2 linked regions of the Drosophila melanogaster genome follow. The protein of the gene in region 2 purifies or fractionates together with the protein of the main gene of each other region. This does not show direct contact. Each region holds a gene or a part of one and is shown on either strand. Other genes may lie near its edges.

Region 1 (5,195 bases), 8.1 Mb from region 2:
GACGGTCGGTGAGCGTGCGTTTGGCACAGCAGCTGACCAAGGGCTTGAGGTAATCCTCCAGGGTGACGGCTGCCAGCGAGCTGATTATCGAACTAATCGTGGAGAGGCTGGCGCAAAAGATTCCCGAAACGAAGAGGCCAGCCAAACCGGTGTATTCGCCCATCGTGTCCACGACAAAGAGCGGCATCACTTGATCGCGCGAGTTGACTCTACCCTCCAGCAGCGGGTCACAGTCGCGGTAGTACCAGTAGATGCACAGACCGGAGAAACAGGTGCTCAGACTAAGCAGGCACAGAATGGGCAGGCACCACCACAGGGCCGCTCGAGCGGCACTCAAACTCTTCACCGCCATCAGGCGCTGGACCTGCGTTTGATTCACACCATAGATGGCCAAATAGGTGGCACATCCGCCTAAAATCTGGGTGAACCAAGTGTGACGTTCCGTTGGATCCACACTGAAGTTGGTCAGATTGATGCGTCCGTTTTCCTGCGCCACGCGCCATATCACCTCCAAGCTGCCCGCCTTCACCCAGGCACAGATGATTACACTGAAGACAGCGGCGAACATGAGGAGCGACTGATAGATGTCCGTGATGAGTACGGCCTTCATTCCGCCGAGCGTCGCATAGAACGTGCACACGACTCCAACAATTACGATGGAGAAGACCTGGCTCAGTCCAGTGACAGCTTCCAGGGCCAGAGCCGGCGCATAGACCACAATGCCCATGTATAGGACCATCTGGAGCGAGAAGCTCAGCGAGGCGGCCAATCGGGTGGCATAGCCAAACCGCAGTTCCAGATACTCGTACACACTGGCCGTCTTTAGGCGATAGAAGACCGGAATGATGAGGTAGGCGGCCACCGGCGTGGACAACACATACGACAGATTGATCACGACGAACATTGTACCGTACTGGTAGTTCTCCATGGATACGCCCAATATGGTGACGGCCGACATGAAACTGGCCATCAGGCTAAAGGCCACAGGCGCCACGTTCATGGAACGATCCGCCAGAAGATATTCGGTGGTGGTGCTCTGCTTGCCGCCCACGAAACGGTAGTAGATGCCAATCGCAACGGAGATGATCAGCACCACCGCCAGGATCGTGTAGTCCCAGGCGCCCAAAGTAGCCATTGCAGATGCCGGGTTTTAAGTGGGGCACGTGTTAGGCTGATTTTCCCGACGGAACCCTAGTCGCACATCTAATCACTCCAAACTGATAAGTTGCCCCTAATCGGGCCTCTTGAGATTCAAGCGATATATTCTATGGGGCGTCGGACGTTGGAACACGTCTTCACCGTCTGCCGGCCGTCGATGAAATAAAGGCCCAAACGGAATGAAACCGCAAGCTTTTGTTGGTGGAGAGTCAGCATTGGGCATTTTACTATGGCATTTACGACCCCGTCGAGAGATAGCGACCTGTTGTGTTGCACCACGTGCGGCTGGATAGGGTGACAACCAGGCGAAGGATAACCCAACCGCAGGCCCGCAAGCCCTTAAAATGGGAAACCATTTAGGTGAGGGTCATGGCAACTGTCAAACCACCAAAGGCTCGACTTCATTGCACTTTTAGCTCGTGCCGACAAACACTTGTGGCTGGTACTGTGGACGACTGTGTTTAGCCATCCATAAATATTTATTTGCCCGCTCGTCGGATTGCAATTGTAATTGTAGTACCCGATTGTCGTTAGCTGTGTAGAGCTGGTATCCCCCCGGCCCAACTTTGGCTTGTTTGCTTTACGATTTTTACGAGGGAAATTAATTAATAAACACAAAGAGCCCAGTCGGCAAGTCGGCATTGGAGCTTTGGAAGCAGTGTACAAATAAACAAATAAGTCTCAACATTTCGCTGTAACTTATGCGATTCTTGCCGGATACTTTGCTCCCTCAACGCGATCTTTTGCCAATAACAAAAAAAAAAAGCCATCAGACGAATCACATGATGTTCTTGGAGACCAAAAATAGTTCTATGACTGCTGTCGTAAATCTGGTATCTATATGGACCAGTCTGGGGTTTGTAGTTCTATGTAGGGGCGGGAAATTAGTAGAGCACTGGAGCAAACTTCTGGAAGTTTTATGTGACGTTAGTAATCTAAATACTTAAAACTACATTTAACATATATGTACTTCGCATAAGAAGAGCCATCCAGTAGAACAGTCGATTAATTTGTATAATGGCGAACGTTATAAATCTAACAGGTGCTGGAGGACTGAATGCTTTTGCTTCTTTAGCTTAGTAATAAAACTACTATTAAATCACATGATTTTGGTCTGGGCCATTGCGGCTATGATATCTATATGACATGGTAGTCCAAACTCACCGTGACTTGGTACCAGCCAAAGCTGTTGGGCATCAGTTTGCCGAACTTGCCGCGCGGAATGGGCGATCCCCGACGTCGGGAGGTGGGTCTATCCTGTTGGAATTAATTATACATTAGATTAGAAATGTGCATAGGGATAACATGTGGGGTTGGTGGGCACCTTAACGGCCGTGGTCATGTCGCTCATGTCATCATCCTCGTCCCATCGACGCAAATCTTCGGGTCGCAGCTTGATGTCCTTTTTGTTATGTAGACATTGGGAGGGCTTAAAGCTGACGCGCCGCTTGTTTCGATCCTTGCGTCGCTGGCGATCCTCCACATCTATAGGAATACATTATATTTAGGTTACTGGAGGGTTCATTTTCTTGCACTCCCGTGTACTGACCAAAATCATCGAAATCCTCGGGAGCGTTGTAACGTCCGCCGCCATTTCCAACGTTGTTGTTGTACCGCTGGCTACTGCCACCGCCGCGTTTGGGCATCTTACTAATATTCACTCAAAAACGTATGCAACAAAAAGATATGCGAATTTCAGCACGTTTTTAGCTGAGTGGTGTTGTGTGTTTGTGTGGGTGCTGTTGTTATTACTGAGAAAACTGTCTTGAGGGCAAAAAACTATGTGCGATGTATTTTTTGCATTCACACAAACTGCTGCCAACTTCTGGAAAAATTTTTCTCGACTTCCTGAACCTATTTGCTAATATAGCAGCAAAGTAGCTGCTGTTTTTTGGCAAATTTCCACGGCCAAAGTACAACGCAATTTTGTGAAATTTAATTCACTAGCGATCTTCTTTCGATAGCCAGTGGCCGATGGTTGGCAGAAACTGGACGGATGTTTGCGACCTTTTTACAAGTTATTCTTCGAGGAAATTTGATTTAATTGCCACCAAAGCGAAAAAGTTACGAAAACTAACTAGAAATATGTAGCGAGCGAAGTATATTCGCTTGATGTTGATATTGTTTTCTTAATTTCTGACAGGTCTATCGATGATGGCGGGCCAACTATCGCACAGGTCGTAATCAGTGATGACACTCTAGCGCAGAACAACCGCGATAAATCTAAAGATTATTGGCTATTTTTTGTTTTGTTGCAGTTAAACTTTAGAATGCAATATTATTTTATTGGACTGTTTTGAAGAGAGTTACCTCATTCTTACTTTAAATATTATATAGTTGTAGCACACACGTACACACTCCTTTTTTGCTCAATATCAAATAAGTTGTTATTTTACGAATAGAGGTAGTGAAATGTTTTCGTATAAGATTTACTTACTTTCATTTTGTCGCAAACGGTGCAATGTATTTCATAAATTGGTAATCGATAGTTGAGAGAGGGAATGGTGATTACTGACAAATCGAAGTCGAGTCGAGTTTTATTATCAGATCAAGCAATATGTCGGAGAAAAAGGGTGCGCTAAAAGTAATCCCGTCCGCTTCGGAGGAGCAACTTGTCCAGGCCCTGGGCGATCTTCTCCAGCGCTGCTCCCAGGAGGCGCTGGCCAAACATGATAAGTTCAGCGTGGGACTTTCGGGTAAGGATCAACGCACAGGTCATGCAGGTCAAGTGGGTTGGCTTGTGATAAGCCAAACTTGAGGGGTGACCTTGCCAGGTGCGATCTTTAAACTTGTGCTCCCAAAGTCAAGTGTCTTGTTTCGCTTACAGGTGGTTCCCTCGTCCAGTTGCTAACGAAAGCCCTGAAATCGTGCAACTTAAAAACGGCCAAATGGGTGTTTTTCTTCTGTGACGAGCGGTATGTTCGCCTGGATGACAGCGATTCCACCTATGGTGCCTACAGGGCCGAGTGGCTAACCCAATTGCCCTGCATCCAGGAATCCCAGTTCGTCCGCGCCGATACCAGCCAACCGCTGGACGCCTGCGCCGCAGATTACGAGGCGAAGGTCAAAAGTCAAGTCGATCGCTTCGATCTGCTGCTGCTTGGCATGGGACCCGATGGCCACACCTGCTCCCTCTTTCCCGAGCAGCCAGCCACCCTGCAGGAGACCAAGCGCCTGGTTATCCCCATCCGGAACTCGCCCAAGCCGCCTCCCGAGCGGATCACTTTCACCCTGCCGCTGATCAATAAGGCACGGAATGTCGCCTTCGTGGTTACGGGCGCCGCAAAAGCCAGTGTCGTCAAGGTGAGGTCTCTTTAGCTTGATAAGATGGAAAAGAATATGAGCAAGAAATCTGATATTTTTAACCACAATTCAAAAACTTCATTTGTAAGGTTTATTTTTGTTGTTATTATATTTTTTAGAGTGTGTTTGTCGATCTGGACAAGAAGTTTCCCGCTGCGTGGGTGAATCCGACCAAAGGGCAGTTGACATTGATTGTGGACGCGGGTGCTGGAAAAGAAATTGAAACCTTAAAATGACATTCCTTAGTTAACTATCGCATCTTGTAAATAATAATTACCTTGATAATCTTTTCGAGAGCGTTTAATTTGTTGAGCTATTAAGGTTGGAGAAAATAAATAAACACTCCAAATATTGTGATTTTACAATTATTTTTGAATTTCTTTATATATTTATTTAATGTTTAGAAAATGTTTGTAAAATGCAAATCTGGTTTAAAAAAGCTATCGGCAACATGAAAAATATCGATATTTACGCAGTGTGGCCGAACTCGGTAACACAACAAATGGCGCACCCAGTATGACGGCACTCGCGAGCACAACAAACGCTTCGTATTGTTAAAATAAAAGAAAAATTATGAAAATTCAGCAGCAATTGTGCTAATTGTCGATGCCCACATGCAATAGCAAAGATCGAAGGACGCGCAACAGCCATGGCAACGCCACAGCCGCAGCCGCAGCTGGAGTTGGGTTCGTGCCAGGAGGCGCAAACTGAGCCGGCGGTCAGCAAGTTGGTTT
Region 2 (4,690 bases):
GTTTCTAAAGCTACGCCGTTTGCGCTCCGTCCACTTGAGCTGATCGAAATCTTCTCCCTCATACTCATCGTCGTCGGCATCCAGTGACACCTCGTCGGAGTCCTCCTCGCCATCGCCCTTCGACTGGGAGGAGGAGGAGTAGTCAAACTGCTGGTTCGGACGTGAGACCACAACACGACCACTGCGCGTCACCACGGGTTGATTCGAGGAGATGTTCATCTCGTTCAGATTCTGGTAAGCTGCGTAGTAGCAATTTAGTAAATGGTTTAGCTAGAGCAGGTGCCCCTAAGGTTGCAGATCAATTCGACCTCTTACTCACAAATCTTTTTGGCCAACACATCGCCCTTGGTCTGCGGCGATCTGCGCTTCGCGCCCAGTTTGTGTGTCTTCATGTCGGTTTCAATGGCACTAGGATCTATTGCATTCGCAGTGTTATAATTATTATTGTTATTACTGATTGATCGGCACTCACTGCTGCTGCCCGAATCAAGTGAGAGATCGATGTATGAGGAGTCCTCGGTGAACTCCTTGCGCAGTTCTTCGAAGTCGGAGGAGTTACAGAGCTCGGACGAGTGAAGGAAGCTGCACGCCGTAGCTGAGGAATCATCGGACACTAGTATTATGCTTCCGCTGTCGCTGTTGACGGTCGCAACTGAAGCATTTTGATGGGCTTCCACCTGGGGCTGGGATTGGGGCGTCTTGCACGGCAACTTCAAATGAACCAGTGCCAATTCGGATTGACTGGCCGGCATGGGCGCTGGGTCGCAGCCAATCTGTGCGTTGTCATGGTCCTCTAGTTTCCAGTCCTGGAGCAGGCCGGCCAGAAGGATGTCCTCCGAATTGGCACTTGGCTTCGCGGACATTTCGAATGCGAAATCGAATTCGTTATTTTGTTTGCGGCTTTGACTTTTTTCGATTTGAGGTAGCGGCGTTATTTTCCTATCGTATATCGACACAAATTGCTCGAATGCCAGTGCTGAAAAACAACGGCACGAGAAGCTCTGTAAACGGCAATGTTGACTGATAGCGGGAAAGTTTGAGGCCGGTTATTGGGATGACTTAAAAAGCACAAGCACAGCTAGTTGCCTGCATGAATTTAGCTTGGGCTGCCCGATATCCCATATTCCCATAACCAGACCCACTTACCTTTTTTGGCGTTCGGCTCGTCGTCCCCGCAGCCTGGCCAGAGACGCTTCACGGCCAACTTCGGTGTCTTCCCCTCGCCATGAATGGAACCAGGACCTGCATCATGAAAACGAAATGAAAATGCAGGTGTCAAGTAGATAACATTGTTATTACCTATGTCCCACAGCTTGCGGCTGTGCAGGTTCTGCAATTTTGTGCTCTCCGTGGTGGGCACGTCCTTCTGGCCCTCTCCCGGCGTGGAGGTAAGGAAATCGTCTGAAATCCTTATCAGCGCGCCCGGTATCTGATTGGGTGTGAATAGGACATGGGATTGCGACGCCTTGCACGCGGTTACATGAAATCAACCAAATGGGCTTAGGATTGACTGACCTGGCTGGCGACTGGTTCACATCCTACCTGTACGCCACTATTGTTCAACTGTGCATTCATCCTTTCGTCCGGAATCTTTAACTGCTGTGCAGAGCTCTCGAATGCCATCGTACTGGCAATTTCGCGTCTGTTGCCGCGTTACCTATGTGGCGGTAATAATCGTCTATCGTTTTTCTAATCCTGGCTAGTGATGAAAAACATCGGAGAAAACTTTTGAGCGTATGGGATGTTAGCTATTCCCCGCCAAATTTTGTTGGTCACACTTCGAGCTCTAGTGCTTACTGTTCTGTTTTTATCGATATCAGCCTGCGCGTGTATCGGCCTATCGAGCTGCAAACGAATAAATAAATAAAAATATAAATAAATCAATTGAAAGTGATATTATAAAAGCAAATTAGGACGTTGGGCAGGAAAAAAACGCCGGTAACAATATTGCAGCGCCGGCGTTTAGGTGAAGTCATTCGTTTAGTTGCAGCAACAAGAAATAGCCAGCAAGATGGGACGCCGCTCCATAAACACCACGAAGAGTGGAAAGTACATGAATCCCACGGACCAGGCGCGTAAGTATGATCCTTTTTAGCTCGATATGTTGAATCCACCATGCTGCACCTTTCAGGCAAGGAGGCCCGCAAGAAGGAGCTCAAGAAGAACAAGAAACAGCGCCAAATGGTGCGGGCCGCCGTTTTGAAGAACAAGGATCCTTCACAGATACTTGAGGAGATGGAGAAGATCGACGAGATGGGTGAGTAGTCCATCGAGCCTGCAGGATTCGCGTCAGCCACTCATGCAGCGTCTACAATTTGCAGAGTACAACGTTCTGCAACCATCGCCGCTGAACGAGAAGGTGCTGCGCGACAAGCGCAAAAAGCTGAAGGAAACATTCGACCGCGTAATGCGACTCTATGTAAGACCAACTCGGCACGATAATAGTGTAGTCCACCTAACAACTGAAATATCCATCTTCCAGCACAATGACGAGCCGGAGCACTGGGCGGACCTCAAGCGCAAGGAGGTGGAGTATGAGAAGAAGCGCCTGAAGAAGCAGCAGTACTACGAAAGCGTTAAGCACGCCCAGAGCGTCCAGATTGACGAAATTCCACTGCCCGCTCCGGTGTCTGCCGTGTCAGGCGGTTCTACCGAAACGACTGGCGGATCGGTGGTTGCGGGATTCGGCGCATCCGTTGTCATACGCCTTCCCCCACCGCCCATGACAATGGCACTGCCGCCTTATGCTCCAGGCGCTCCACCAGGCGTGTCCAGAAATAGCGATTTAGCCAGCGAGGCGCAAGTGGAGAAATCGAAGGAGAACGAGCAAAAGGATTGGCTGGGTGTCCCGCCGGGACCGCCGCCAGATCTGTTTGCCTTTTCCGAACTCAATTCCGATGCCGAGGGAAATACTGACTACGATGGTGAGGGCGAGGAGGAGGAGCCAGAGCCATTGAAGAAGGGCAAGGATAAAGAGAAGGACAAGAACAGCGAGGCCACCGAGCCAAATAACCAAAATATCGACGACTTCATGAAGGAAATGGAGCATGTGCACAAGCGTAAGCATCGAAAACTGGCGGCTAAAGAGGACGAGGCCGACAAAAAGCGGGAGGAGGACGATGGGAAAGATATAGATAAGATAGAGGAACGAACATCTGACTCCGATAAGAGAACCGCCAGCAGTACGGACGATGAGGACGACGATGACCAGGATGAGGATGAAAATATGCCCGAAGTGCCGACCAAGCCAGCATCAGTCAAATCATCTACAGCGACACCCGCGCCAGCTCCTCCGACAGCGCCCACATTGCCGACTATTCCGCTGCCACCAGCGTCGTCTGTGCCTGCGCCGCCACAGCTGCCACACCTACCGCCAATTCCTAATCTTGGGCCACCTGGCATAATGTACCGACCTCCACCCATGCGACCTCCTCACCCGGGTTCCGGCTTTGGCATACGCATGCCACCTGGACCGCCGCCAGGACCCAGGGCACCGCATGGCCTGGGACCAATACCGCGCATGGGCATCAGGATGCCACCAGGACCGCCGCCAGGTCTGCCTCCGCGCCTTGCGCACCACAATAAGCAGGGAGGCGGCGCAGGTGCACCAAAGGAGTCAGCCAAGGGTGTGGCCACTATTACAGCCAAGCCACAAATCAGGTGGGTTCGATGACTTTCCGGCGCAGTAGAACCAATTCCCATTACTAAACATTCCAAACTTACTCATTAGGAATCTGAGTGCGGATGTCACCCGCTTTGTACCGTCCACGTTGCGAGTGAAGCGCGAGGATCAGCGACGCACGGCGAGGCCCAGGCATGCGGCCAACGATGGACACCACGCCCACTCCGAGGCGCACAGCAAGCCGCCCACCAAGGATGACGCCTATCTGCAGTTCATGAACGAGATGCAGGGCTTGCTGTAGCACGCAAAAGGAGTCGCGTAGTGGTAGCTGAGTAGTCTAAGTCCTAGATAAAACGTGTCATCCAAACCAATACCAAACCAAACTCGTTTCATTCGCAGCTTGCTACGGACTGAGATTCAAGTAACGAACGTGTGTGGAGTATAATTTGTTTTTTTTTTTTTATTTTTTATTTTATTTATTTCGGTTTTAGTACATATACAATAGATTAAAACATTTGCTATATTTACATGCTTTCAACTCTTGCGACTGTTGACGAATTAGAAAAGGCACACACACGGAATCACTACTTGCCATTGCTTTGGACCGGAGAGGTCGATCCATCCCTGACTGCCTTCTTGCTGAACGGGCGCAGCTCCACGATATCCGCCTTGAGTGCCCGGAAGCTTCTTCGCAGCGAATCCGACACCTTTTTCGTGTAACTCGTGCTGTTGCTGCACTGGGAGAGCTTATCGTCGCCATTTCCATTGCGCAGATCGGCGGCCAGCGGACGCAGCTCATCCTCCGCGGGCGTGGCATCGTTCAGAGTGTTCCGCAGATATTTCCGATTGAAGTGCAGCTGCGGTGTGCCCCACTTGCGCTCGAGCTCCACACCGCCGGCTCCGTCGGCTCCAATGGCCCCAGCGCCGTCGGCTGCAGCCGGATCCTCCTCCGAGTCCGGACTGGCCACATCCGCTTTGGTCACCTCGCCGATGGCCTCCTTGTAGGTGCGCGTAATGATCATGTTGGTCGGCACGCTCTTCACGTTGACGCCTCCATTCGGGGCCTGT

Evidence for each region.
Region 1: the proteins of CG2685 (region 2) and sbr purify together in Drosophila melanogaster (affinity purification with western blotting, with the first as the bait; one study listed by BioGRID). This does not show direct contact.

What each region holds. Positions count from the first base shown.
Region 1 is NC_004354.4:10,843,785-10,848,979, forward strand, and holds the start of sbr (small bristles), read right to left. Parts: upstream 3,309-5,195; 5' UTR 2,805-3,308; coding exon 2,708-2,804; intron 2,644-2,707; coding exon 2,483-2,643; intron 2,416-2,482; coding exon 2,323-2,415; intron 1,298-2,322; exon of another isoform or gene 1,136-1,297; coding exon of another isoform or gene 1-1,135. Other genes in the region: CG32669 (uncharacterized protein), read right to left, coding at 1-1,135; Pgls (6-phosphogluconolactonase), read left to right, coding at 3,716-3,854, 3,986-4,461, 4,581-4,697; CG2202 (uncharacterized protein), read left to right, coding at 5,111-5,195. UniProt on the Drosophila melanogaster protein: Mediates the export of the majority of mRNAs from the nucleus to the cytoplasm. In ovarian follicle cells, plays a role in transposable element silencing regulation by enabling the nuclear export of flamenco (flam) transcripts and subsequent piRNA biogenesis.
Region 2 is NC_004354.4:2,711,063-2,715,752, reverse strand, and holds CG2685 (uncharacterized protein), read left to right. Parts: upstream 1-1,792; 5' UTR 1,793-2,011; coding exon 2,012-2,075; intron 2,076-2,131; coding exon 2,132-2,257; intron 2,258-2,321; coding exon 2,322-2,419; intron 2,420-2,482; coding exon 2,483-3,660; intron 3,661-3,730; coding exon 3,731-3,923; 3' UTR 3,924-3,997; downstream 3,998-4,690. Other genes in the region: CG2694 (uncharacterized protein), read right to left, coding at 1-239, 320-415, 473-976, 1,147-1,242, 1,300-1,465, 1,543-1,623; CG2681 (uncharacterized protein), read right to left, coding at 4,207-4,690.